4 linked regions of the Macaca fascicularis genome follow. The protein of the gene in region 1 purifies or fractionates together with the protein of each later gene. This does not show direct contact. Links are inferred from orthologs where the notes say so. Each region holds a gene or a part of one and is shown in the gene's direction. Other genes may lie near its edges. The genes, in order: CDH1, PLEKHA7, SKP2 and CTNNA1.

The links.
Region 2: the proteins of CDH1 (region 1) and PLEKHA7 purify together in Homo sapiens (co-immunoprecipitation; 3 studies listed by BioGRID and IntAct, with this or other methods). This does not show direct contact. The link is inferred for Macaca fascicularis from reciprocal best matches to the Homo sapiens genes CDH1 and PLEKHA7.
Region 3: the proteins of CDH1 (region 1) and SKP2 purify together in Homo sapiens (affinity purification with western blotting; 3 studies listed by BioGRID and IntAct, with this or other methods). This does not show direct contact. The link is inferred for Macaca fascicularis from reciprocal best matches to the Homo sapiens genes CDH1 and SKP2.
Region 4: the proteins of CDH1 (region 1) and CTNNA1 purify together in Homo sapiens (affinity purification with western blotting; 10 studies listed by BioGRID and IntAct, with this or other methods). This does not show direct contact. The link is inferred for Macaca fascicularis from reciprocal best matches to the Homo sapiens genes CDH1 and CTNNA1.

The regions. Positions count from the first base shown.
Region 1 is NC_088394.1:64,815,991-64,821,599, forward strand, and holds the start of CDH1 (cadherin-1), read left to right. Parts: upstream 1-2,326; 5' UTR 2,327-2,450; coding exon 2,451-2,498; intron 2,499-3,342; coding exon 3,343-3,457; intron 3,458-5,609.
Region 2 is NC_088388.1:48,947,828-48,952,934, forward strand, and holds part of PLEKHA7 (pleckstrin homology domain-containing family A member 7), read left to right. Parts: intron 1-2,785; coding exon 2,786-3,308; intron 3,309-4,159; coding exon 4,160-4,246; intron 4,247-5,107. UniProt on the Homo sapiens protein: Required for zonula adherens biogenesis and maintenance. Acts via its interaction with CAMSAP3, which anchors microtubules at their minus-ends to zonula adherens, leading to the recruitment of KIFC3 kinesin to the junctional site.
Region 3 is NC_088380.1:36,456,870-36,461,976, forward strand, and holds part of SKP2 (S-phase kinase-associated protein 2), read left to right. Parts: intron 1-514; coding exon 515-649; intron 650-2,542; coding exon 2,543-2,641; intron 2,642-3,796; coding exon 3,797-3,927; intron 3,928-5,107. UniProt on the Homo sapiens protein: Substrate recognition component of a SCF (SKP1-CUL1-F-box protein) E3 ubiquitin-protein ligase complex which mediates the ubiquitination and subsequent proteasomal degradation of target proteins involved in cell cycle progression, signal transduction and transcription.
Region 4 is NC_088380.1:145,281,048-145,286,154, forward strand, and holds part of CTNNA1 (catenin alpha-1), read left to right. Parts: intron 1-1,679; 5' UTR 1,680-1,681; coding exon 1,682-1,786; intron 1,787-2,961; coding exon 2,962-3,157; intron 3,158-5,107. UniProt on the Homo sapiens protein: Associates with the cytoplasmic domain of a variety of cadherins. The association of catenins to cadherins produces a complex which is linked to the actin filament network, and which seems to be of primary importance for cadherins cell-adhesion properties.

The DNA.
Region 1 (5,609 bases):
ATGTGACATTGAACAAGTTATTTGCAAATCGTAGGTTTGGGTGAACTCTAAAGGTCTCTTCCAGGTCAACATCAAAAAACAGACTGAAAACTGCAGCTCCAGCTGGAAGACGGACCACATGAGATGAAGCTGATTGTTAGAAGAAAGGCCTGGAATCAGAGAGGTCGGTTCCAGTCCTGTGCCTCCTCTCATTGGCCTCAACCTCTCCAAGCTTCAGTTGCCCATCTATCAAATGAGAATAATAATACAGCTCTTGGGTTGTTTTGAAATGAGCTTAAATGAGCTGGTCAGTGGCTGGGCACAGTGGCTCATGCCTGTAATCCCAGCACTTCGGGAGGCCAAGGCAGGCGGATCTTCTGAGGTCAGGAGTCGGAGATCAGCCTGGCCAACATGATGAAACTCTGTCTCTGCTAAAAATACAAAAATTAGCCAGTTGTGGTGGCGCATGCCCGTAATCCTAGCTACTCAGGAGGCTGAGACAGGAGAACCACTTGAACCCAAGAGGCGAAGGTTGCAGTGAGCCAAGATCACACCATTGCATTCCAGCCTGGGAGACAGAGCAGGATTCCATCTCAAAAAAAAAAAAAAAAAAAAAAAAAAAAAAGAGCTGGTCAGTGTCAAATGCTTAGTACAGAGACTGGCACAGTAATCTTCAATGCCTAGCACCTATCGTTACTGTTTTTTTTTTTTTTGAGACAGACTCTCCCTCCGTCACCCAGGCTGGAGTGCAGTGGCGCGATCTCAGCTCACTGCAAGCTCTGCCTCCCGGGTTCACACCATTCTCCTGCCTCAGTCTCCCAAGTAGCTGGGACTATAGGCACCCACCACCATGCCTGGCTAATTTTTTGTATTTTTAGTAGAGATGGGGTTTCATTGTGTTAGCCAGGATGGTCTCGATCTCCTGACCTCGTGATCCGCCCGCCTCGGCCTCCCAAAGTACTGGAATTACAGGCGTGAGCCACTGCACCCGGCCCTGTTGTTACTATTTTTACCCCTCACTTCTGTACAGAGCATTTATGGCTCAAGAAACATTTGTCATTTATTGTATGGGAGCCTCACAACAACATAGGGAGACATTTCTGATCATTATTCCCATTAGGAGGGTGGAGAAACTGAGGCTTTGGGAGGTGGTCCTGACCTAGGGAATCAATTTGCTGACTCACTAACCCATGGAGCCCTGCAGTTAAAAAAAGACTAGATTAAAAAATAAGAACTCAATAAAGGGGCTGAGGCAGGAGTATCACCTGAGGTCAGAAATTTGAGATCAGCCTGGGCAACATAGTGAGATCCCGTCTCTAGAAAAATTTTTTTAAAAATTAGGCCACTTGAGGCAGGTTGCAGTGGCTCACGCCTGTAATCCCAGCACTTCAGGAGGCGGAAGAGGGTGGATCACCTGAGGTTAGGAGTTCCAGACCAGCCTGGCCGACACAGTGAAACCCCATCTGTACTAAAAATACAAAATTAGTTGGTCTGGTGGCACAAGCCTGTAGTCCCAGCTACTCAATAGGCTGAGACAGGAGAGTCGCTTGAACCCAGCAGGCAGAGGTTGCAGTGAGCCAAGATCGTGCCACTGCACTCCAGCCTGGGCAAGACAGAGTGAGACTCTGTCTCAAAAAACAAACAAACAAAACACACAAAAAATTAGGCTGCTAGCTCAGTGGCTCGTGGTTCACACCTATAAGCCCAGTACTTTGGGAGGCCAAGGAAGGAGGATCACTTCAGCCCAGGAGTTGGAGACCAGGCTGGGCAATATAGGGAGACACAGCGCCCCCACTGCCCCTGTCTGCCCCGACTCGTCTCTCTACAAAAAGACAAAAGAAAAAAAAAATTAGCCTGGTGTGGTCGTGTGCACCTGTACTCCCAGCTACTAGAGAGGCTGGGGCCAGAGGACTGTTTGAGGCCAGTTCAAGGCTGCAGTGAGCTGTGATCGCACCACTGCACTCCAGCCTGGGTGAAAGGGTGAGACCTCATTTCCAAAACAAACAAAAAAACAAAAACAAAAACAAACCCCAAAAAACAAAAGAACTCAGCCAAGTGTAAAAGCCCTTTCTGATCCCAGGTCTTAGTGAGCCACCAGCGGTGCTGGGATTCGAACCCAGTGGAATCAGAACCGTGCAGGTCCCATAACCCACCTAGACCCTAGCAACTCCAGGCTAGAGGGTCACCGGGTCTGCGCGAGGCCGGGGGGGCGGGCCGTTAGCTCCGTCCGGGGGAGGGGTCCGCGCTGCTGATTGGCTGTGGCCGGCAGGTGAACCCTCAGCCAATCAGCGGTACGGGGGGCGGTCCCTCCGAGGCACACCTGGCGGCAGCAGCGCACCCCAGTCTCAGTGGCGTCGGAACTGCAAAGCACCTGTGAGCTCGCGGAAGTCAGTTCAGACTCCAGCCCGATCCAGCCCGGCCCGATCCGACCGCACCCCGCCCCTGCCCTCGCTCGGCGTCCCCGGCCAGCCATGGGCCCTTGGAGCCGCAGCCTGTCGGCGCTGCTGCTGCTGCTGCAGGTACTTCGGGTCCCCTGCCTTGCGAGGGACGCGTGCGGGCCGCACACTCTGCGCCCCAGCCCCCCGCCCCAGCCCTGCGCCCCTTCCTCTCCCGTAGTCACCGCTTCCCTTCTTCCAAGAAAGTTCGGGTCCCGAGGAGCCGAGCGGCCTGGAAGCCTCGCGCGCTCCGGACCCCGCAGTGATGGGAGTGGGGCGTGGGTGGTGAGGGGCGAGCGCGGCTTTGCTGCCCCTCCAGCGCAGACCGAGGCGGGGGCGTCTGGCTTCCGAGTCCGCGGGGTGGGCTTGGGCTGGCGCGGGGGTCGTGGAGCGGGGTGTGGGGGGTGGGGTGTGGAGAAGGGGAGCCCCGGTGCAAGTCGAGGGGGAGCCAGGAGTCGTGGGGACGATCCTCGAGGGAAGGAGAGGGGCATCCGTAGAAATAAAGGCACCTGCTATGCCAAGAAAGGTCGTAAATAGAAGTGGGAGTCCCGGGGATAAGAAAGTGGGGTCGGGGGAGGTGGGAGCGCCCCTCGCTCTAAGGAGTGGTGCATTCCCGGTCTAAGGAAAGTGGGGTTGGGGAGAATAAAGACATCTCCAATAAAATGAGAAAGGAGACCGAAAAGAACGATGGGCTAGGTCTCGAGGGGGTGACTCGGCGGCCCCCTTCCGGGAGTTTCTGGGGGCTTGGCGGCCGTAGGTTTCGGGGTGGGGGAGGGTGACGTCGCTGCCCGCCCTGCCCGAGGTTGGGGGCGGGGGTCCTCCCCCAATCCCGACGCCGGGAGCGAGGGAGGGGCGGCGTTGTTGGTTTCGGTGAGCTGGAGGGAACCCTCCGAGTCACCCGGTTCCATCTACCTTTTCCCCACCCCAGGTCTCGTCTTGGCTCTGCCAGGAGCCGGAGCCCTGCCACCCCGGCTTTGACGCCGAGAGCTACACGTTCACGGTGCCCCGGCGGCACCTGGAGAGAGGACGCGTCCTGGGCAGAGGTGAGGGCGCGCCGCCGGTGTCCCTGGGCGGAGTAGGGTGGGGTTGGAAAGGGGCCGAGAAATTGCACTCCCACACCCCTGGGTTGGAATGGGCAAGCTCTCTCCTTGGCTCAAACGACACCCCTTGGAATTTACACAGATTTGGGGATCCAAACGTTTACGACTGAGCACTGGTGGAGGGGGTAGCCCTGCCTGGTTGTTAACCATGTTATAAAAAAGCAGAGGTTGAGGGCACTTACTAGAAGCCTTCGTATTTCTCTTATTGCCCTCAGCACTGTAGAGACAGTGTCCCATTTCAGACTGCAAAAACCTGGTGGGTGGGAAGGCTCCGGCAGGAATATTCCCGTTTTACAGATGAGCAAACCGAGGCTGAGAGGGTGACGTCTACTTGCCCAGGGTCAGCAGAGCAGGTATCTGAACTGGGACCTGACTCCCAAGCCCCATTAAGCACCATCTCTGGGATGACTGAAGAGCAGCTCTCTCTTGGTTACTGGGCTGTGGCTTTTGTTTATAGATATTAAAGCTTTTTTTTTTTTTTTTTTTTTTTTTTAAAAAAAAAAAAAAGGGTCTTGCTCTGTTTCCCAAGCTGGAGTGCAGTGGCACAATCACAGCTTACTGCAGCCTCCATCCTCTGGGCTCAAGTGATCCTTCCCACCTCAGTCTCCCTAGTAGCTGGTTATCACAGGCATGTGCCACCATACCTGGATAATTTTAACTTTTTTTTTTTTTGAAACGGAGTCTCGCTCTGTCACCCAGGCTGGAGTGCAGTGGCCGGATCTCAGCTCACTGCAAGCTCCGCCTCCCGGGTTTACGCCATTTTCCTGCCTCAGCCTCCCGAGTAGTTGGAACTACAGGCGCCCGCCACCTCGCCCGGCTAGTTTTTTGTAGTTTTTAGTAGAGACGGGGTTTCACCGTGTTAGCCAGGATGGTCTCGATCTCCTGACCTCGTGATCCGCACGTCTCGGCCTCCCAAAGTGCTGGGATTACAGGCTTGAGCCACTGCGCCCGGCCAATTTTAACATTTTTTTAAGGCTGGGCGCAGTGGCTCACACCTGTAATCCCAGCACTTTGGGAGGCCGAGGCGGGTGGATCACAAGGTTAGGAGTTCGAGACCAACCTGGCCAACATGATGAAACCCTGTCTCTACTAAAAAAAATACAAAAATTAGCTGGGCATGGTGGCGTGCACCTGTAATCCTAGCTACTCAGGAGGAGGCAGGAGAATTGCTTGAACCCAGGAGGTGGAGGTTGCAGTGAGCTGAGATAGTGCCACTGCACTCGAGCCTGGGTGACAGAGCAAGACTCTGTTCCAAAAAATAAACTAAAATAAATTTTTTTTAGAAACAGGAGTCTCTCCATGTTGCCCAGGCTGGTGTCGAACTCTTGGGCTCAAAGGATCCTTCTGTCTCAGCCTCCCAAAGTGCTGGGATTGCAGGCCTGAGACACTGTGCCTGAACCAAAATACCTTGTTACAGGTACTGTTTCCCCCAAGAAATAATGATTTTTTTTTTTTGAGACAGAGTTTTAATCTTGTTGCCTAGGCTGGAGTGTTGTAATGGTGTGATCTCAGCTCACTGCCACCTCTGGCTCGCAGGGTCAAATGATTCTCCTGCCTCAGCCTCCTGAGTAGCTGGGATTACAGGTGCCCACCACCATGCCCAGCTAATTTTTTGTATTTTTAGTAGAGAAGGAGTTTCACCATGTTGGCCAGGCTGGTCTTGAACTCCTGACCTCAGGAGACCACCTGACTCAATTTCCCAAAGTGCTGGGATTACAGGCATAAGCCACCATGCCTGGCCAGGAATAATTATCTTTTTTTTAAAAAAAAAGCATGGTAGTTCTGACTCAGGATGAAAATGCATACACCCAATGTACTTCTAGGCTTATCTTTGTGATAATCTAGAGTTTGCTTTGTTCCACTCCACTGTTGTCCAGGGAGCAAGGGAAGGGGCTAGTTTCTCTTCTGAATTCACTGAATCCCGAGTGCTTACTTTATATCAAACCACTTTCTCCTCTCTCATGATTTTAGTTGATTGGATATCACAATAAAAGGCATATTTTTTTTTAAGGAGAAATCACCCACAATTCCCCTGAGGGAACACCTCCATTGTGTCTATTCTTCTGGTCTTTGACCACATGAATCTTTAGCAATC
Region 2 (5,107 bases), on another chromosome or scaffold:
GTTGAAGAGATCTTAAAGTTATCTCCTGCAATGGCAAAGATAGCTTTATTTGAATGACAACTATTTCAAATCCTCACAGCAATTTTCAAAATGGTTCTTACTATCCCCATTTTGTAATAAGGAAAGTGAGACTTAGAGGGCTTGGATGATACTTGCCTGAAGTCATATAGCTAAAGTGATTAAATGAGTTGAGTTTTAAAACAATTAGAACAGTTTCTCAAACTTTACAGAGCACTAGAATCTCCTGGAGGGCTTGTTAAGACACTGATGCCTGGGCGCCATCCCCTGATTAGGTAGGTCTGAGGTGGGGCTGATAACAAGCATTTTAAAAATATATCTTATTTTTAATTGACAAATAACGATTATATGTATGGGATAGATGTGGTGTTTTAATATATGTATACATTGTGAAATGATTACATCAAACCAATTGACATATTCATCACCTTATCTGCTTATTCTTTTTGGTGATAAGAACATTTAAAATCTACTTTTAGTAATTTTGAAATATACATTATTATTAACCATTGTCACTATGCCTGTGCTGTAGGTCACCAGAACTTATTCCTCCTAACTGAAACTTTGCACCCTTGGACCAACAGCTCCTCTTCCATCTCTCTTATCCCTCCCAAACCTCTGGTAACCACCTCTCTACTTTGTTCTTCTATGAGTTTGACCTTTTTAGATCCCACATATAAGTGAGGTCATACACAGTATTTGTCTTTCCATGCCTGGCTTATTTCATTAACTTGCATTTTTAACAAGTCCCCAGGTGGTGCTGATGCTGGTGGCACACAGGCCACACTTTGAGTAGTGTTGGCTTGGAACAATGTCTGCAACAATGTCAGCACCAAATAAATGTTAGATAAAATTGATAGGTGAAGGCGGAGTCAGAATTGACCTCAAGCCTGTCTGACTATAAAACTTGTTTTCTTTTTACAACATCATGCTGCCTCTCAGGCTTAGTAAAATTCCATACTTCGTCCCTTGCTTAATTTTTTTTCCTTCTCAGAAAATAAAGTGGAGGCTGGGCACGGTAGCTCATGCCTGTAATCCCAGCACTTTGATAGGCTAAGGCAGGCAGATCTCTTGAGGTCAGGAGTTCAAGACCAGCCTGGCCAACATGGTGAAACCCTGCTTCCACTAAAAATACAAAAATTAGCCAGGCATGGTGGTGCACACCTGTAGTCCCAGCTACTCAGAAGGCTGAGGCAGGAGAATCCCTTAAACCCGGGAGGTGGAGGTTGCAGTGAGCAGAGATTGCACCACTGCACTCCAGCCTGGGCAAAAGAGCAAGAATCTGTCTCAAAAAAGAAAGAAAATAAGATGCCTAGTTGGTGGTAGTTTTTGAAATCATATCCAGCTTTGTGTGCTGGAGTGTTTATTGAAGGGCTAATTATGCATAGGACTTTCTTAGACTGTGGACAATACCATGGTCTGAAACACAGCTCCTGTCTTTCAAGAATTTTCACCTTGGCCTGGGAAAACATGTCTTGCAAGTATGAAAAGATCACATCAATATAGGACCTTGGAAAAGTTACAGGCAGTGTGATAACTAGGTCAAACAGAGCTGGATCACTGAGGGCTGTGGCACTGCAGAAGGTCCACATGGGGAAGGCATGGGCCAGCATCCTGGAGAATGAGTAAGACTTGGGTAAATAGAGCAAGGGGAGACCATCCAGGTAGGGGGAGGGAAGAACAGTGTTATAAGAGTAAGGAGGGACAGGAAGGGTACACACGTTAGTGAAGGACCTTCTGTGTATCAGACATGGAGATTGCATTTCCTAACCTGTCTCATTGATTCCTCAGAAGAGCCTTATGAGGCAGGTAATACTGTCCTCATGTTAGAAGTAAGGAAATGGAAGTTCAGAGTCAGGTAAGCTGCCTAGGGTCACAAAGCCAGCAAGTATAAAGCTCGGCTTCAAACCCAGGTTAGACTCCTACCTTTCCTTTTTCCACTGCAAGATATTGCTCAGGTGTGGAGGAGGCTGGGCCAGGACTAGGGTGGGGCTGACTGTCAGGCACCAGCACGTGCAGGGGTGACCCTGAGATGGAGTACTTCCTTCAGTTTTGGGCCCTAGGCATTTGGCGTGGCCCTGGTAGGAAGAGCAGTGAGAAAATAGCAGGCCTGCAAGGTGGGTTGAGGTCAGCTGCTAGCGAGCTGTGAGTACCAGGCTGAGGAGTTTAGACTTTATTTCACAAGTGACAAGGAGCCATAGAAATTTTTGAAATAGGGAACTGATTTGATCAGAGCACTTGACTGTGGACAAAGTAGAAACCAGTTAGGAGCATCTCAAAGTTATCTGGAGGGAGATAATTAATCAGTATCTGGTCTAGAATAGTCCAGAAAAAAGAGAACTGATGCCAGCTACTTCCTTTATGAACCTCCAGAACTTGGTGCTAAGGATACCAAGCAGAGAGAAAATCTTGGTAACCTGGAGAATTGTGAGGCCTTTTCTATAAATATGCACAGCCGTGGAAAGAGCTGACTGCTGGCAGTGGAGAGAGAAGGAAAAGCCAGGTTTAATCACATTGCACTCCAATTGATGGGCATGGGGTAGCCAAGTTGTCCTGGCAGAGGAAGTTGACAGAGAAAAATGGTTTTGGAGTTGTCTGCAAAAAGGGGAAGTGACTGAAGTCCTGGATGTCAGCCTTGATCATTCTTTTGGGGTTCTCATAGGACTCTCCCACATGCCCAGCTTTGTGGGTTTACTTAGGTATATTCCCCAAAGCCTGGCAGAACCCTCACTTGGTGGCCTGACGTGTTCTTACCTTTTCTTCTCAGTCTTCCCTTGGACCAGACGCTTCCTCGCCAGGGTCCTGGCCAATCCCTGTCCTTCCCAGAAAACTACCAGACTCTTCCCAGGAGCACCCGACACCCCTCGGGGGGCTCCTCGCCACCTCCCCGAAACCTGCCAAGTGACTACAAGTACGCGCAGGACCGAGCCAGCCACCTGAAGATGTCGAGTGAAGAGCGCCGGGCGCACCGGGATGGCACCGTGTGGCAGCTCTATGAGTGGCAGCAGCGCCAGCAGTTCCGGCACGGCAGCCCCACGGCACCTATCTGCCTCGGCTCCCCAGAGTTCACTGACCAGGGCCGGAGCAGGAGCATGCTAGAGGTGCCCCGCTCCATCTCTGTGCCTCCATCTCCCTCGGACATCCCTCCCCCGGGACCCCCAAGGGTCTTCCCACCCCGGCGGCCACACACGCCAGCAGAACGAGTCACAGTGAAGCCACCGGACCAGAGGAGGAGTGTGGACATCTCACTGGGGGATTCTCCAAGGAAGGCACGGGGCCACGCTGTCAAGGTGAGGCTCGAGAAGCTCTGCCAGGCTGCTGGGTCAGCGTGAGGGTGCCAGGAGCCTTGCCTGGTTTGAACACAAATTTGAGTAATTTGGGATAATAATGATAGCTAATACTTAGGCAGTACATTTAATTTACATTTAAGATGCCAGGCACAGTTCCCAAAGGCTTCGCTTTAAATTCTCACCACAACCCTGTGAGGTAGGTGCTATGTTTATGCCCATTTCAAAGATGAGAACTCGGCCGGGCGCGGTGGCTCACGCCTGTAATCCCAGCACTTTGGGAGGCCGAGGCGGGCGGATCACAAGGTCAGGAGATCGAGACCACGGTGAAACCCCGTCTCTACTAAAAATACAAAAAATTAGCCGGGCGCGGTTGTGGGCGCCTGTAGTCCCAGCTACTCGGGAGGCTGAGGCAGGAGAATGGCGTGAACCCGGGAGGCGGAGCTTGCAGTGAGCCGAGATCGTGCCACTGCACTCCAGCCTGGGCGACAGAGCGAGACTCCGTCTCAAAAAAAAAAAAAAAAAAAAAAAAAGATGAGAACTCTGAGGCGCGGAGAGACAAAGTAACTTGCAGGGGGTCACACAACTACAAGTCAGCTTCCTTGCAGCTTGAAAGGCAGGAAAAGACATGTGTCCAGTCAGTTAAACTATTTATAACAACCCAGCTTAAGTTTTCACTTTCCAAGGGCTTTCACCGTTTAGTGTTCTAACCGTAAGAGTAAGATACGTGTGCTCATTTCATAGATGAGGAGTCTGGGGCTCAGAGGGGACCCAGGTGGCATGGGGCGGGCTGCCCTGGGAGTGGGTGGCAGAGGTTTGGGCTCCAGTGTGACTTCTTGTCTTCCCACTTGCAGAACTCGTCTCACGTGGACCGACGCTCCATGCCCTCCATGGGTTACATGACCCACACCGTCAGTGCTCCCAGTTTACATGGAAAATCGGTAAGGTGAATGACAAGACACAGCCTGCAATGCCCTATCTCATCAACGTTTTCCTTCCTCTGAGTCAGTACAATGCAGTCCACAGGGCAGCTATCAACTCCCATTTTAGAGATGAGGAAACTGAGACTCAGAGAAGTCGAATGACTTGCTTAGGGTCACCTGGCTGTCACTGGGTCCCCAATGAAGGGGAAGAGCTTGTGGGGGAATGTAGGGGAATGTTAGGCTTATCTCCTCTTTCAAGCTGAATTTTGCCATAAATGTTTTCCAGCTACTCACCTTTTTCCGCAGGTAGTGCCTCTCCTCTCTTCCCTGATCTTTGATTAATTAATTAGTTAACTCTATCTTCAAAGCTTGAGTCCGAGACCAGGCATGGTGGTTCATACCTGCAATCCTAGCACTTTGGGAGACCGAGGTGGGTGGATCACTTGAGGCCAGGAGTTCAAGACCAGCCTCGCAAACATGGCGAAACCCCGTCTCTACTAAAAATACAAAAATTAGCTGGGTGTGTTGGTATACTCCTGTGATCCCAGGTATTCGGAAGGCTGAGATATGAGAACTCAGGAGGTGGAGTTTGCAGTGAGCCAAAATCATGCTCACGCTGCTGCACTCCAGCCTAAGTGACAGAGCAAGACTGTCTCAAAGCAGAAGAAAAAAAAAAAGCTTGGGTCTGGGTGAGGTTGCACTGTTGGTTGTTGCTTTCCTGAAAAACAACTTCCTGAAGCCCTTTTACTGCCAGTGCTTTTATTTGTCCTAATGACAGAATTAACGCAGTAATTGCTTAATGGTGTCACATCAGTGCTGTCCTGGCACTGACACCAGGGTGAAGAGTGTAATTCTAGCAGCATGCTCCTGTGGTGCTAA
Region 3 (5,107 bases), on another chromosome or scaffold:
ATATTTTTAGTAGAGATTGGGTTTCACCATGCTGGCCAGGCTGGTCTCGAACTCCTGACCTCGTGATCTGCCCAACTCAGCCTCTCAAAGTGTTGGGACTATAGGCGTGAGCCACTGCGCCTGGCCTGGTCTCCCTTTAAAACTTGCTCTTCCACTATCTTCCCTGTTCCATTGCTGCTCACCCATTCACCCCTGCTAGAAACCAGGAGCTGTTATAGTCTCCTTGTCACCCACGTCCGGCTCATTGTTGTGATGCCCACTCATTAGTTTCTAAGTGGGACTATATTAGCAGCAACATCTGTACTTGGCAAAAATCCTTTTGAATTTTAAAATGAATGAAGATGGGAATACACTAGTAGCAATTTGTTTTATGACCCTATAGTTAATGCTTGAAATATGTATTTAGAGTCTTGTTTGTGATTGACTGCTCATTTGGGGAGACAAAGGGGTCTGATTTGATCGGATGTACCTGTGAGAGCCACCTATGGAGCCCCTTTTTTCTCTCCGTGTTTAGCCCTTTTCGTGTACAGCACATGGACCTGTCGAACTCGGTTATAGAAGTGTCCACCCTCCAAGGCATACTGTCTCAGTGTTCCAAGTTGCAGAATCTAAGCCTGGAAGGCCTGCGGCTTTCGGATCCCATTGTCAAGTGAGTGGCAGCCGGAGTGTCGCAAAGGCAGTTGTTTTTATGTGTATGAATTTTTTTCCCTGTATATATATATAACTGGAGTGCCCTTCTAGCCATATCCAGGTGGATACAGAAAATTTCTAGTGCAGGGCTCTTGCTTCTGCAAAACTTTTCAGGACTCATTGAAGCAACAGAAGCTTGAATGCTAACTATATGCCAGGCCCTGTGCTAGTTTCTAGAGATACAAGGATGAACAATGCATGTGTATTATTTGGAAGAAAATGAATGCTCCAAAACTTTTCCCACATTGTTAGTGAATGCTGGTTAAGCTATAGTTTACCTTCTTGCAAGAGGAAACATCGAGCAAGACATGTCTGTTTCCTCTTGCAAGAAGGTAAACTATTTATGAGCAAGACAGATAATTACCATGCTAGTGTGTTTATTAAATATTTCGGTGAATATGTGGCAACACGCGAGGAGCCGCCTTCTTAGAGGAAGGAAGTGACTCTTGAGTATTGAAGATATCTAGGTAAGAGATCTCCAGGTAATAAGATAAAGCAACCAGTCTAGGTAAAGCTTCCTATGTGGTTCTAAACTCTACGTGGTTGGAAGTTACTGGAGCACAGGACTAAGGGAGGGGAATGACAGGAGGTGAGGAGAGTCAGGGACCAGATTGTAATAGGCCCCTGTGCCTTGCTGTAAGAAGAATGGACTCTTCCATCAAGAGGGAAGCATGGGCCAGGTGCGGTGGCTCACACCTGTAACCCCAGCACTTTGGGAGGCTGAGGTGGGCGGATCACCTGAGGTCAGGAGTTTGAGACCAGCCTGGCCAGCGTGGTGAAACCCTGTCTCTACTAAAAATACAAAACTTAGCTGGGTATGGTGGTGCATGCCTATAATCCCAGCTACTCAGGAGACTGAAGCAGGAGAATCACTTGAACCCGGGAGGCGGAGGTTGCCATGAGCTGAGACCACGACACTGCACTCCAGCCTCGGTGACAAGAGCAAAACTCCATCTGAAAAAAAAAAGGAAGCATGGTGGAGAGAGTTGTTCTGAGAGTGGAAGGAACACGTCAAGAGTTGAAATTTAGGAAATGAACTTGCCAGGCACCATGGAGGGTCCATCGAGGATAGAAGAAGCTAGAGTAGTTAAGGATACTGCTGTGTTCATTCAAGTGAGAAATTTTGAAGTCTGATATAAAACAGATAGCAATAATAGCAGCTAATGTTTTGGGGCATGTATTATGTGCCAGATAGTGAATTTTGTAAATGCGTTTTCATTTACTTCTGACAGCAACCCCATGAAGTGTGATCTTACTTGTTTCCTTTTTATAGCTGTGGAAACTGAGACATGGGGAGACTGAATAAGTCTTTTCAGGGTCACACTGTTAGTAGGTGGCTGAACCAAGATGTGAACCTAGTGATATACTATTTCCAGAGTTCTTACTCTTAATCACTAAGTTTTACTAACACAGGGCATTTGGGGATGTAGTAGAGAAGATGGCAAATTTGAGAGATGTATAATCAAAAGAACCTGGTGATTTTACAAGTAGAAGTTTGCAAGCTAATTCTAATTATGGGTGAAATGGATATATGTTTATTCCATTGTGTTTTTAATTCAAAAAGTACATTGATTGATATTCTTGTGTATTTGCTTCATAGTAAGTCTTTTATCACATTATATCATTTAATCTTCTTGATAACCCTACCAAGAAGGTTTGATAATGCCATTTCACAGGTGAGTAAACTGAGGCAAATTATCCTGTTTGATGTCTGAGAGATAGTGATATACATTTTAAACTCACTGACTCAAAGACCTATGAACTTAACTACACTTGCCTGCTTTCATCTACATGTTGTTGATGAATAGCGTCTTATTGGTCTTTTTCTTCTGACGTTTTTCTCTTTTTCCAGTAATCTCGCACAAAACTCAAATTTAGTGCGGCTTAACCTTTCTGGATGTTCTGGATTCTCTGAATTTGCCCTGAAGACTTTGCTAAGCAGCTGTTCCAGGTATGAAAGATGTGACTTGATTATAGACTCTTATATCAAATGTAAAATTATCCCTCACATCTGTATAAAATTGGATGAACTTTTTGAGCTTTTTGTAACTTTCCAGGCTCTTGATTTGGTGAATGCAGCGTCTTTTGTCCTCTAAACTTTCTGTCCAAACTCAGGAGCCGAGTCAATTGAGTTTGCAAGCGATACTTTTTTATCTCTCTTTTGTTTATTTGGAACTATTAAAGAAAGGGAAGTATAGTAGTGTCTGTCAACAGTATATTTGTAAGAAATCAACTCACACTTAACTATACATTCAGGTTTTTTCCCTTATGGTATCTGTAGACCTAACTTACAATTTTTGATCAAATTTTGTGTTTTATAAATATAGACCATAAATTTGGGCAATTCTATTAACAATAGCTTTCATAATAATGTCAGCACATAAAGGGTACAGAGTTACAGATGTTGTTAAGTGAGGGGAATACATGCTTTTTGGAATACACAGTACTATGCATATGTGTGTTTTTAAAAAATATCCCTTGGTCTCCATGGTACATCTGTGTCTTGTTAATGGTCCATTTAAAATAGATTGCCTCCGGATATGAATGATATCAGTGAGATCAAATGTATAGCCCTATATTTAGTCAGCAGTGCCAGAAGTGGGGAGTGGGGATTCATGGTTGTATTTTGTCTCTGAAACCCTCGTTTTTGCTCAGTTAGCAGAGGCACAGTAAGATGAAGTGGCTTTTTGCAATGTCAGCATCTCTTTTGTGCAATCCTTCAATTGTATAAAACATCCTGAGTGATTGTTCAGTCTGTGTTGGGTGGTTGGTAGTCTGAGAAGGCAAACATAAAAGACTAGCATTTCTATCTGCAGTACTGGAATAAGGTTTGAGCCATCAGGAAGAGAGTGCTTCTCTCCATTTCCAGGAGGAGGCAGCATTCACCAAGGCCCTTCTGATCCCCTGGCAACTTTCAGGGGCAAACAGGGTATACTTAGGAGACTAGAGGTAGCTGCTGTTAGAGAAGCAGGTGTTCTATGCATGAAATGATAAGGAATCAATGGCTTTGCATTTTCTTTGTTTGCGGTTTGAGGCAAACTCATTCCTGTGAGTTTTAATTGGTTTCATGGTTTCATATTTTCTTTATTACCCCTCTTTTGTGCAGACTGGATGAGCTGAACCTCTCCTGGTGTTTTGATTTCACTGAAAAGCATGTACAGGTGGCAGTTGCGCATGTGTCAGAGACCATCACCCAGCTGAATCTTAGCGGCTACAGAAAGAACCTCCAGAAATCAGGTTAGAGCTTCCAAGCCTGAACCACTGAGGCCTTCACAACGTAATAGATGAGATTCATTGAGCTTCTCCTAATCGTTCCTCCACATAAGTTTTCTCATTTAATCCAGTGCATGTGTTAGTCCCCTTTTGCAGATGAGGTGGCTGCTAAATCAGAAGGGTTAGGTGAAGGTAAACAGCTAGTGAGCTAGAGCCAAGGTTTGAATTCAGGATCTAACAGTAGAAACCTTTACACTTGAAAACAATTTATTTTTAAGCAGAAAAACTTTTAATCAACTAAATGATTAGATAAACTCCAACATAAAAATACATAAATGTAGCATTTCATTAGTATTAAATAGTGGTTCTTCATTAGTTAATGGGGCTATTTTGTCTGTATGGGGACATTTGTCAATGTCTGGAGACATTTTTTATTGTCACAGCTGTAGGAATGCTGCTGGTCTTCCTTGGGCAGAAGCCAGGATGCTGCTGGACGGTGTATAGGATGGAGCATATTACGCACAATAATCTGGTCCAAACATCAGTTCCAAGGTTGAAAAACTCTGTTATTAACTCTGTTAATAAGTTCATATTTATGACTTTTACTTTTTATTCAGTCCAAGAGGGCAACGAGGTTTTTTAGATGAAAACAGGCCTTAGGAGTCAGGGGTAGCAGGGAACAGTCTTTAAAAACCTTAATATTCAGTTACGCTTTGTTACTGAATGTTAATGAGAAAATCTTGTATGTTACTTGTATGTTAATGAGAAAATCTTGATTTGCAAAGATAAGTGATTACAAATGGCAAGTTTTTTAAATGGCTTCACCGTCGCAGGCCAACATTCAGTTTGTGGGCTATGCAAAACCTAGTTAAACCAGCAACACACATCAACCGTATCTCGATGTTAGTACTAGCTTATTTGAGTGTATTTTGTTTATTATAGTTTTTATTATTCTGAAAAAGATTTGAATCAAACATCTGCAGAATATATCTTAAAATTTAAGTAGTATAAAACTACTTCTCCAGGACAGACGTCCTCTGGTAAGATGTATAAAGCTATAGAAAATAATTGCTAGCCTCTCATGAGTGGGCAGAGATTTGAGTCTTTCACCTGTGCAAGGACTCAAATTTGGACTACTGCCATTCCAAACACTTGCATTTTCAGACAAGGTGAATACTTTCTTTAGCAAGCCGTAAAAGCAGCA
Region 4 (5,107 bases), on another chromosome or scaffold:
GGCTGGTTGTTTTGTTTTTTAATTTGACAACATTGTTTTTAAGAGTAGCATTGTAGCCCATTGTGTCATTGTTACATAATTTATTGAGTGATCTGTTGTTTAAAATTTAGGTAATTTATAATTATTAATGTTTATATACAGCGGTGTTGTGAACATCATTGTATCCAAGTTTTTACATGTTTCTTAATTTTAGAATAGAATTTTAGCAGTAGATTTTCTGGGTCAGGAAGGTACTTTTTTAAGCTTTTCTTTAAAAAAAATTTTTGTTTTATTATTATTTTTGAGTTGGAGTTTTGTTCTTGTTGCCCAAGCTGGAGTATAATGGCGTGATCTCGGCTCACTGCAACCTCTGCCTCCCAAGTTCAAGCGATTCTCCTGCCTCAGCCTCCTGAGTAGCTGAGATGACAGGCGTGCACCAGCAGCCTGGCTAGTTTTGTATTTTTAATAGAGACAGGGTTTCTCTGTGTTAGGCTGTTCTCGAACTCCCGACCTCAGGTGATCTGCCCACCTTGGCTTCCCAAAGTGCTGGGATTACAGGAGTGAGCCACCACGCCCAGCCTTTATGCTTTTAGGTGTCTACCAGCAGTTCGTTGTCTAGAAAGTTTATATTAGTGTTTACCTCAACTTCATGCCTTTTCTTTTTTTTTCTTTAATAATTTAAGGCACTACTTTTAGAAGAAAAGACTGTTATTTTCGTTGATGTTTTCTCCCTATTCTTAAAGCTGCTGTCTGACAGAAGTTTCCCTTGACACTGATACAGTGATATTTGACTAAGTGTGATTTGAAATTTCTTCTGGCTATGAGTGATAATAGCTGTGGGTGCAGAGGGCAACCGATTAAGCATTAAGTTTTAATAGAATAGGACAAGTCCTTCTCTAGGAATCCATCAAAAAATGAAGTGAGGCATACCTTTTAGATACTACTATACCATAAATGTTGTGGAGTAGGAAAAATCAGGATCTTCTGTATTCGTTTTTGAAGCAATGTCTTTGAAAGTAGCTTTCGGCTGGGCGTGGTGGCTCACACCTGTAATCCCAGCACTTTGGGAGGCCAAGGCGGGTGGATCACGAAGTCAGGAGATCGAGACTATCCTATCATGGCTAACACGGTGAAACCCTGTCTCTACTGAAAATGCAAAAAAATTAGCTGGGCGTGGTGGCGGGCGCCTGTAGTCCCAGCTACTTGGGAGGCTGAGGCAGGAGAATGGTGTGTACCCGGCAGGTGGAGCTTGCAGTGATCCGAGATCACACCACTGCACTCCAGCCTGGGCGAAAGAGTGAGACTCCGTCTCAAAAAAAGAAAAAGAAAAAAAAAAAAAAAAAAAGGTTTACTTTAGCTTTTCATCTTGTTTCTAAAAGATTGGGCAGATAAACTGAGTAGGAACTGAAGTAGGAAGTCTTGCGCTAGAGAAGCCCAAAGGGAAACGTTCTGTGTGTTTGGGAATGCCCTCTTGTAGTACCCCTAGTATTTGTAAGCCTGAAATGATTAAATTTTAAGAGATTGTAAGGTTTACTGGGTCCTCATGTGCAGGCTAGTTAGAATTTTTTCATCTGTAGTGAATATAACTTTCCTGATGCAAAAGTCCCAAAGTAGGAGAAGATTTAAGTAGGAGAAGATTTGTTACATATTTCATGTTTGTGTTTGATGTTTGCTTGACTGATTTTTTGTTTCTTTTTTAGAAATGACTGCTGTCCAGGCAGGCAACATAAACTTCAAGTGGGATCCCAAAAGTCTAGAGATCAGGACTCTGGCAGTTGAGAGACTGTTGGAGCCTCTTGTTACACAGGTAAGAATCTGAAAACACAAATACATTGTAACCTGGTTCTATAGTACAGGCCTGGGTAACAACCATAAGAGCAAGGTTATTTAGTTCAAAGCCTTAATTCCAGTACTTGAGTTTAGGTGACAGTTCTTAGATGATTTGAATATTGATGCATGGGTTTGTTTAACCCTTTGAGAACGCTGCTGTGGTCATTTTCTTCGGTCTTATTGCTAGTAACTGGGGTCCGTGGTATGTAGTGCAACTTTGCAAATGTTTGTGCTTTGCAGATACTTCACCTTTCTTTAGAGGGGAAACCCAAGAAAGGTGGGATCTGGATCCTTGATTGTTAAGGTGTCTCACTCTGCTTAACACACCTTTCATTGTGTGGGATTAATTAGCAGGTAATTGAACTTGAGGGTTTAGGTTTGGTATATTATGTTATAAATGTCACAATGTTAGGGTGGTTCATAAACTGTTAGCAACTAGCTGTGTACCTTTAGTGTTTTGCAATAGTGTGTCTGTTGTCTGTATGTGAGAGATTCAGAGAGAGAGAGAAAATGAGTCTTGTTTGGCAAATTTGCACTGTAACATATCTTAATCATCTTTAACCTACAGATCATCCGGTATTATGTGTATTAATGATGGTAATGTTCTAGGACATAAAGCATCATCACTGTAGGCTTCTTTGGGCAGTCATTCCTTTATTAGGGGCCTTTACTAATAAATTGCTGAGATTTGTGTGAATAAACCGTGAAAAGACTTCAGAAGCAAATTATCTTAAAACATTTTGCAAAGTTTGAAAACAGTGGCAGTACGATCTCCAGATAAAGCTAAGTTCATTGTTAACCTATTTCTGGAACATAGAGTGTTCCAGATACTATATGGGTGACATATAGTAGAGACATCTAGCTTGTCTCTAATCATTTTTTAATTTGTAAAATCAAACTAAAAACCTAATGATCATATTTGAGAAATTAAAATATGTGTTAAATAATTCTGTACACATTGAGAAAGCTGAGTTATTTTGGAAATTAAATATAGTATCATTGCTGTATATCTTAAATATGGGGAATTGTATGTTAATGCTCAGTGGAATCTCATAAATGTGATTTTTTTAAAGAATAACTTAATCTTGCTATCTTTAAAGATATTAGTCATTTTAATTGACTCCAGTTTAATGTTAAAAATGAAACTTTTAGGTTACAACCCTGGTAAACACCAATAGTAAGGGGCCCTCTAATAAGAAGAGAGGTCGTTCTAAGAAGGCTCATGTTTTGGCTGCATCTGTTGAACAAGCAACTGAGAATTTCTTGGAGAAGGGGGATAAAATTGCGAAGGAGAGCCAGTTTCTCAAGGAGGAGCTTGTGGCTGCTGTAGAAGATGTTCGAAAACAAGGTAGGTCATTACTGCTTTTCATGTAAAGAGAGGCAGGCCTTTCTAGAAAATAAGTGTTTGAAGGAGATTTTTTTTGTGGTCAGTATTCTCAGTTCTCATGCTTGCCAATTGCTCAGTAACTTACTCAGTTATTGGAGATGTATTAACTTGGACTGGATCATATTTTAATTCTCATTCTCATGCTTGCCAATTGCTCAGTAACTTAGTTATCGGAGATGTATTAAGTTGGACTGGCTCAAATTTTAATCATGAGAGATGCTTGCAAAGGGACATCTGGAGAATCTGAATCCACTTCTCTTGGGTGTTTCAAGTAATAGTTAAGTCTTAGAAATGTTGTAACACAATTTGATAGGAAACATGGGACAGAAGTTTACCTTTCATTCTATGTAATACTTTTTAATTCATGCTGAAGAGATGGGTGTGATAAAATAGAAAAATACCTACTCTGAAAATACTCTAGAAATTGTTCTGTTATGTCAGATTAGTATGTTAAATCAGCCATGCATATTTGCACTGGTTGGAGCTTGACTTAAATAAATCTGGGCATAAAGGAATCATGTTTTGGGAAACTCAGAATTGATAAAAAGTAAAATGGTAATCCACAGTTTACCAGTAATTAATGCTAGAAAAATTGTCCTTACTGTGTTACAAGTGTGGAAGGAAGACTTTAAATATGGAAAGTAAACTTCTCGAAACCTGCAGTTTTTATTTTTAGTAGAGATGGGGTTTCACCAGTGGCTCATGCTGGTCTCAAACTCCCAAGCTCAAACAATCCACCTGCCTCGGTCTCCCAAAGTGCTGGGATTGCAGGCATGAGCCACAGCCCCCACCCTTGAAACCTGTGGTTTTGTGTTAGGTTTCTATTCCAGTCAGAGAATTTCAACAATGCTGTAGGTTTTTTAGGTTATTGGCTATCAGCTAAGGTAAATTGAGCCCTGCTATTTACAGGTGCTCTACTAGCCCTTGGGAGAACTTCATAGATCTTTCATACCTGATGGTAGATTGCATAGTCCAGAGTCTTATGTCAAATTCATCCTTGTGGCAGTACCCTAAAATGGGCAGTGTCTTAGATGGAGATGACATCTCCAGTTGTTTTCTGAATTTGTGAACAAATAACCTTCAGTGGTAAATATTTTTTCAGTTTTCAGGCTGAAGATAAATATTTCTAATACTGAAAATGAAATTATTAGAATTCCACAGTACTAATTAAGCAGGTATATTAGTTTCCTAGGGCTTCTGTAACATAAACTATGACAAGCTTGGTGGCTTAGAATAATAGAAATTTATTCTCTCATGATTCTGAAGTGCAGAAATCTGAAATCGAGGTGTTGGCAGGCTTGATTCCTTGTTGGGACTTAGGAAGAATCTGTGCATGCCTTTTTCCTAGCTTCTGGTGGTTGCCAGCAGTCCTTAGCATTCCTTGGCTTGTAGACTCATTACTCCAGTCTCTGCTTTTGTTATCATATACTTTTCTTTTTTTGTGTCTCTGTGTCCAAATTTCCTTCTTCTTATAAGGACATCAAGCATTGAATTAGGGCCCACCTTACTCCAGTATAACCTCATTGTAACTTGATACCATCTGCAAAGACTGTTTCCAAATAAAGTTACATTCACAGGTTCCAGGTGGACGTGAATTTTTGGGCGATGCTATTCAGCCCAGTACAGTGGGTTTTGAATTAATTTATTTTAAAGTAGTTTAATGGTCCAGTTCAGGACAATTTTTTTGAGCTTGATGTTGAAGAGATCAGGCTATTACTTAATTGTATTCTGTGGTACATTCTCCTCCCCAGCCCTTCTTGTCTGCTATAACGAAGCTCACAATTATATTAACAGATGAGTTTGGACAAGTGTTTGCTGGGTCTAGTGATTGACATTTCTTTTCTTTCTTTTTTTGAGTTGGAGTCTTGCTGTCGCCCAGGCTGGGATGCAGTGGTGCGATCTTGGCTCACC